Linked DNA regions of Elephas maximus indicus. The protein of the gene in region 1 interacts with the protein of each later gene in a pairwise test. Links are inferred from orthologs where the notes say so. Each region holds a gene or a part of one and is shown on either strand. Other genes may lie near its edges.

Region 1 (3,746 bases):
TTTAACGCAAAGTCGTGGGGGCGGAAGGCAAGCGAATGAAACAAGGATTTTAATGCAACACTGGGGGAAGAAGCCAAGCAAAGAAAAAGCTTATCCTGATGCATAACTGTTTGAGGTTTTGTCTTAACCGGGACTCCACGTTAAGGACCAAGTAAGACCATATACATGAAGTTCTTATAACGGTGCCTGGCGTATAATAAGCATTGTTTTCATTCTGTTTTCGTGTTAGGATACAGTTATGACTTTTGCGCGGTACCACACATGCCCGCATCAGCCAGCGGACGTTAGCTCAGGTGAGCCAAGAGTAACAAATGCCACAGCGAGCAGCGCAGCAGAAGAGCGGCAGCAGTGGGGACGCGGGAGTGAGAGGACCGCTTCCGAGCCTGCGGGCGGAGCGACGCGGCGGGGAGAGAGGGCTGGGCGGCGGCGAGGAGGGCGTGGGCTGGCCGGGAAATGGGGGACGCGTGGGGCCCCCAAGCCTCTTTCTATTGGAGGCGACGGGAACCAAGGGAGCGGAGAGAAGCGCAGTAGCGAGGGGGCGGCATCTGTCCCTTGACGCAAGGGCCTTGGGCATCAACAGCAAACGGGGGGAAAGAGGAGGCGCGCAGAACCGCCGGCGGCCGGCGGACCTTGTGGGGATCAGCAGGCCGCCGCGAGGCCCCGCCCCCGGCCTCCCACCGCCCCTGCATCGCGACGCCCCGCCCCCGGCCTCCCACCGCCCCTGCATCGCCCCGCCCCCGGCCTCCCACCGCCCCCGCGACGCCCCGCCCCCGGCCTCCCACCGCCCCTGCATCGCCCCGCCCCCGCGACGCCCCGCCCCCGGCCTCCCACCGCCCCTGCATCGCCCTGCCCCCGGCCTCCCCCCGCCCCCGCGACGCCCCGCCCCCGGCCTCCCACCGCCCCTGCATCGCCCCGCCCCCGGCCTCCCACCGCCCCTGCATCGCCCGGCCGTCGGCCCGTTACCAAGGGGACCGGTCACCTGACGGCGGCGCCGCGCCTGCGCGGGCGGAAGGCGGGGGCGGGCCGTGACGGGCTTGTGGGCGGCTCCTCGGGTGTTCGCGGTGCGGCTCGTCTGGGGTCCTGGAAGTCTGTTCCTGGAGCCGAGGAAGCGGCAGGCGGCGGATCCCTGGGCCTAGGTGAGCGGCTCTGGGGGCGGGGCGAGTCCGTCGCGCGGTCCGGGCGCGGGGACGAGGCGCGGCGGCGCCGAGCACCTAGCGGAGAGCGTCCGGGGCCCCGGTTCCGGGAGGTGAAACCCTTAGCCCACCCCTTAGCGCCTTTCCGCGCCCCGGGCCCGGGCGAAGTTGGCGGGCGCGGCGCCTTCGGGGTCGGCCAGGTCCTCCTCGACCCTTTTTGTTCCTCCCGGTGAGGTCTCCAGGGACCAGTGAAGAGCGAGCCGCTGCTCGTGACCCGTCGCGGGCTTCGGTTCCTGGCTCGGACATAATCTGCCCTTGGCGGAGTCGGCAAGCCCGGGGTTTGGAGGAGGAAGGAGGTGTTTGTTTAGTGGGCGAAGCCTGGCTTTCGGGAAGGGATGGGGGAGAGGCTGTGCGCTGATTTCTGGAGAAGTTGGACGAAAGGAAGCCGCAGCCGGTAGGGTGTGTTCACAAGGAAATAGCCCTTGAGATCTGGTGACTCACAGCTTTCCTTTCAGGATTTCACTGTAATAATAAAAAAGTGAAACGTACGGATTTGGAAAGTTTTCTTGTTCACCAAAGTGGAATTACTGAATCATGGGGTCTTACAATGTGCCGATTTTCGAGGGAAATTTTTAGGTCTGTGTAGTCTGTATATATTACCTGCGCGCAAATTTACTGTTATTTTCTCCGTTATAAAAGTAATTACTTAGAAAGTACCCTTAGCTTGTCACACTCTTTAACATCCACTGCTTCCAAGGAGACAGTTGATTGGAAAGGAAAATTACATCGAAAAACAGCTGCAGTCTTTGTAAGTTAGATTTACCTCAGATCTATGTAAGTGATTGGTTAAAACTTAAATTTGTCCAATCTTTTCATTTTTCTATTTGAGATTAAGAACAAACAGCCCAAAATGTGAGTGCCTCATTTTCTCTGTTTCCAAATTAGTTCTGTAAGCTTTTGTGCTTTGAAGGGTAGGTAAATATTAGAGGTCAAGTGGTTTGTGCCACAGAATAAAAATAAGAAAGCGAACAACTTTTAAAAGCTTCAGGAAGTAATTATTCAATTGTGATCCCAGCTTAACTTTGGCAGCATTAATTTTTCTATTTTGGGCGTTATGAGAGAGGATATAAAAATCATTGACCAAAAGCGGCTGAATTTAGCAAGAGTTGGCACTTAAATGTACTGTTCAGTAAAATAGTTCCTTAAAATGAGCGAGACTCAACTTTTTTTTCCCCAAAAATTAGGCACATTTTGGGGGGGAGTAAATGCCCGGAGTTTCTAAAAAGAGGCTACGCCATACAACTTTAAAATATTTTTTACATCTCTTCGTTGCCGTGGAGTCGATTCTGACTCGTAGTGACCGCATAGGACAGGGTAGAGCTGCCACACAGGGTTTCCAGGGAGCCACTGGTGGACTCGAATTGCTGACCTTTTGGTTAGCAGCTGAACTCTTAACCACTGCAACCAGCAGGGCTCCTTCAGTTGCCTTCACAATGACTCTGACTCCTGGCGACCTCGTGAGTGTTAGAGTAGAGCTGTGCTCCATAGGATTTTCAATGGCTGATTTTACTGAAATCGATCGCCAGGGCTTTCTTTTAACGTGCCTCTAGGTGGACTTCACCGGACAGCCTTTTGGTTAGAAGCTGTGTATGTTAATCTTTTGCACTACCCAGGGACTCCCTAGTTATATTAAGCCAAAAAAACCAAACCCATTGCTGTCCAGTTGATTCTGACTTATAGCGACCCTATGGGACAGAGTAGAACTGCCCCCATAGAGTTCCCAAGGAGCGCCTGGTGGATTTGAACTGCTGACCTTTGATTAGCATCTGTAGCACTTAACCACTACGCCACCAGGGTACTAGCATTTATTAATTTATTTATAAGTGTTGCCAACTTTTTTTGTGTGTAGGTTTATTTACTTTTTTGAGAAAGAAATGCAGTCACTTGGTTCAAAATTTAACTAAAAAAGGTATGAAGTCTTCGTCCATCTGTGTCCCCTTGCCAACCATTTTCCCGTCTTGTAGGCAACCAACTTTTAAAAGTTTCTTAGGTATCCATCCAGGTATAGTTCATACCTCTGTAAGAAAGCGTGTTTAAGTATACTTTCCCCTTCCTTTCAGTACCAATGTTAGCATACTATATACATTGCTCTACACTGTGCTGCTCTTCTTCTAGTGTCTTCATGCTCAAGTGTGTTGTAGACTGAAAACCTGAATGGATATTGCTGGGTGGAGCGTATCGGCATTTATAGTTTTGATGGATACTGACAGAGGCTGTACTAGTTTACACTTCCACTAGTAATGTTTGAGAGTGTTTCTCCCTTACTGTCAGTGTATTGTCAAACTCTGAATTTTTGCCAGTCCAAATCATATGGGTAAGAAGAAATTATTGTACTCAGAGTAGACTTCAGTGTGGCCGTAATTTCTCAGCAGTTAATCATCAGAATCTCCCTGGATATTTATTAAAAAGACAAGTTCCTACGTCCTTCCATGAAGTTTTTCATTTACTAAATCTGTGTCAGCCTGGGAGACTGTTTTTAACTAGTGCCCCAGGTAATTCTGATGATTAGCCAAGTTTGAGAAACATTGCCCTGGCAGGCCGTAAAGGACTTTA
Region 2 (3,746 bases), on another chromosome or scaffold:
CAGTTTGTCCTAAGGAACTTAGGTGCATTGGTTCAGTTCAGTCAGTGTAAGGAATAATCCCTCACATAGATTTTTCATTGCAGAGAGTAAAATGAACGGTAAGAGCTTCTGGTAGTTGTAAAAGTAGACTGACCAATCTGAACTGGGATCTGCTTTCCCAAAGTTACACTGTCAAATGCTCAGTCTATAAAAACGTTACTGTATTCCAAAAGGACCTTTTTTTTTTTCCTTTTCCTAATGAAGATGTAAACCTTCCTGCAAGATTAGCCTTTTAACTCACTGTCTTGAGAGTTTCACTTACACTAAGTAAAATCCATTAAAAATGAGTGACTTAGCTGGTAACTCTTAGATATAAACTACTTTGGTATGAAAAATCAGAAATTCACTCCTGACCTTGAAAAGTAAAAGTTAGGTTTTGAGATTGTGACAGAAGGCTGTAGTCCATACCAGCCCTGAAGATTGATACTATTGCTGCTAAGGAAATGAAATCCGCGGCTCAGTCATTGTCATTTATGTAGGATCTTATCTAAAGCTTTATAAAGAATAAACATTTTCAAAGCTTGAAACCATTACCTAGGATTACCTTCTGAAACTATTAAACCAATTTCGCAAAGGAAGATAAATATGCAAATACATTAAACAAGTGACACTTTCCAAAAAGATGGAACCCAGGTCGCGCCGCAGCTGCAGAAGAAAACTCAAAAATGCAACTATTAAGTATCATTCAGCAATTTCGTAAGATACAGATAGGTAAGGGCTTTTAAGAGCTCTCTGGAAAAGTCTGTTTCTCAGAATTACTAAAATTTACTTGGCAAGCTGTGCCGTAAGCACCGGAGTTGAGGAAGGCTCCTCTTTTGCGTGGCTACTCAAGTTATCTCCATAAAATTCAGTGGTTCCTGCGCTCACCCTCACATATGAGCTTCAGGCACGCAGCAAACCAAAACTACCGGAGTTGCTTTTTTGCCTCACAGTAATTGTCCCCAGATAATACCCAATTAGAGGAGTATTTTATGTTCCACTTTTGCAACTCAACGTTTTCTCTTTAGATGAGTACCCAGAGAAGGCGAACTACTATTAAGAATTCTCTTTCTTGAAGAGTTTGAACATCTACTTATTTCTTTACAATTCTCTGACACATTGCTTAAAATCCTCGGAATTCCTAGATACTGTCTTTCTCCTCAAGGAAGATAATTTTTTTTTTTTTTTTTTTTTTACCATTTGGAAAAAAGTGCTATTTAAAGAACTCTGAAATAAGAATTTAGAAAAAAAAACTAGAACTTTTTTTTCTCATGCGCTCTGCCAAATTCCACTGCAAGTTCCAAATATTGTGCAATAATTTGGAAATCGAGTTAACGATGGGAAAAATCGAGCAACTCCGAGTCGGGAACTTACAAAGGAGAAGTCAAGGAGTGGCACCCGCACGCACACGGCGGCGGAGACAGCATCCCCTGGCGCACCTCCCTCCCCACCCCTCGGGCGGAAGGACAAGCTTCGCAATCTATTTCAGTAATGTCACTTGTCCTTTTTTCTCAACCCTCTGATGAACTAGTATGGGACCTTGGAGCGCTTAAAGCTGCTGGCTGCACTTGTTTTGCCCACAGAAAAACTCGTGCACCCCATAACACAACCAAAACGGCCCCGTTGAATTAGTCTACGGAGAACCAGAAAGGGCAAACAGGTCCCATTTTTCCTGTTGCCTCATTGTATTGCCAGAATCTTCCCTGGCATCTCTCCGCCTCCTTTCCAGCCCCGTGCACACTCTCGCCGAGGGTGTCCCGCGCGCCCTTACCTGAGCTGTCGCTTTTCCTCTTGCCGGCACTTCTCTTCTCCGCCTCCGCGGGCGACAGCGCTTGGCGTCCGTAGTCTCCTGGCGCGCACGTAGCTCCTGTCGGGGTGCTAGAGCCCAAGCTAGAAGAATTGGAACACAGGACCGGCGGGCTGCTCCCCAGCTCCGGCGGGCCTCCAGAGTCCGGCTGGAGGCAGAGGCTGTGCCGAGCCGCAGTCGGGGGAGAGGACATCTGCGGGAGGTGCCAGTTGGTTTGCAGAGCCTGGTGCTGCTGCTGCTGGTGGTGATGGTGGTGGTGATGGTGGTGGTGGTGGTGACCCCTGTGATGCTGGCTGGCAAACATGCCCTCCTCGTTGGGGTATCCCGCGATTATGCAAGACGAGGAAGAAGTGGAGAGCTCGGGATAGGACATGTGGTCAGATCTTCCATGGAGGGCGAGAGAGGACTGGGAAAACGGGTGCAAGCCTTGCGCAGTGGCGTGGGGGCTGCGCAGGCAGCCAAAGAGCGGGTGTTCCATAGCATGCAAGTCTCAGGTTCCAGACAGAAGATTTCACGAAGGTTCCAAAAGCCACCAAGCTCTGTCAGTTTTCACTGGAAACTGTGACTTCCCCACCCCCCTCCCACAGCAATAGCCGCGCGTTTCTGCAGAGCTGGGATAATCCCGGTCCTGAGCCTTAGCGGCCAGTCTCCTTTACATATAAACACTCGGACCTGGAGGAGCTTTCCACTGAGCTACTCAGATGTCAAGAGGAGGAGAGGTTGAAGCCAAAAGAAGGTGGTCCCAGAGAACTGCTTTCAGGGGAAAACTGCTCTGAGAGGTTATAAATAGAGTGTAATGTGAGCTGGGGGCTGGCTTAGGAGCCCAGCGCTGACCACATGCAAACTCCCTCCAAAACCCTCGTTCAGTCTGCGCTGCGCGCTCGGAGTTTCACTTCCTATTCCGCGCTGGGCGGACGCAGTGCTTCTAAACCCGTCACAACCTTGCTAGACGCCAAAGTTGCAAGCGGTGCTCCTGGCGCCTAGGTCGCAGCCTGGGCCGGCAGTGCTCTTCCCTGCGGCTCAATCGGCAAAGACGCGCGGCGGCGCATCGCAGCCCCAACCCAGCACCCAGTTTTCAACTAGCTCACTTCTCTCAGGAAACATGTTTTGTCAAAGCCACTTGGGAACTGTCACCTGCAGGAAACGCACGGAAGGGCCAATAACATAGAGAAAAAAGATCAGCGGTAGTTTGGCGCGCGCTCCGAGGCGTCAGTTTTTCAAACTTCGAAAGTTCCTGCGCCCTGGGCGCAGCAGCGCTCCCAGCCTTGTGCCGCTGGTGTCTGTGGGCGGGTTGTTAATAGGCTCCAAATCCGAGGTTGCAGGGATGTTCACGCGAACGGGAAACGGCAGCTCTCTGTGCTCAAAGGAGAAGGACCTGGTGGGGTGGGTGAGAGGAATGCGTGAGGCGGGTAGAGTTGCAGATACCCAGGTCTTGGCATCCTCACCTGCGATGCCAGGTGGGGTTTCCCTCCCCCCCCCCCCCCGCCCTCCGCAAACGCTACCCGTACCCGTTCCTGGTCCCGCTCAATTTCCTGGTCACTTTTTTTTACCCACCAAGGAGAACTTTTCCTGGGTCAGGAATATTACAAAGTGCTCTCTTCTCGATCACATGAAATGTGTAGATGGCACGCACATTTCCCCTCAGGAGCCCTAGTCCCTTCATTTCCCTCCAGCAATCCACTCTCTTCCGTTCAAACATAAATCAGTTGCTCGCATCCCCCCATGGGTCCATTTACACTCCCCACACTCACCCCAAGTTTACTAAATTTGGGGGCTTTGGGCCTCCCTAGTAACAATTTTGCATCCTCCCCCCTCAAAAAAAAATTAGAAAACTTGCCACCGGTAACTACCAGCGAGAGAGGGCTGTACTCGATTTTCTTTCCAAGAAGGGGCAGGCGCTGCCTTTGATACTGCCACTTGC

Evidence for each region.
Region 2: the proteins of SDCBP (region 1) and MEOX2 interact in a two-hybrid assay, tested with the Homo sapiens proteins (2 studies listed by BioGRID and IntAct). The link is inferred for Elephas maximus indicus from reciprocal best matches to the Homo sapiens genes SDCBP and MEOX2.

What each region holds. Positions count from the first base shown.
Region 1 is NC_064833.1:85,377,442-85,381,187, reverse strand, and holds the start of SDCBP (syntenin-1), read left to right. Parts: upstream 1-1,043; 5' UTR 1,044-1,136; intron 1,137-3,746. UniProt on the Homo sapiens protein: Multifunctional adapter protein involved in diverse array of functions including trafficking of transmembrane proteins, neuro and immunomodulation, exosome biogenesis, and tumorigenesis.
Region 2 is NC_064826.1:76,480,587-76,484,332, forward strand, and holds the start of MEOX2 (homeobox protein MOX-2), read right to left. Parts: upstream 2,591-3,746; 5' UTR 2,304-2,590; coding exon 1,790-2,303; intron 1-1,789. UniProt on the Homo sapiens protein: Mesodermal transcription factor that plays a key role in somitogenesis and somitogenesis and limb muscle differentiation. Required during limb development for normal appendicular muscle formation and for the normal regulation of myogenic genes.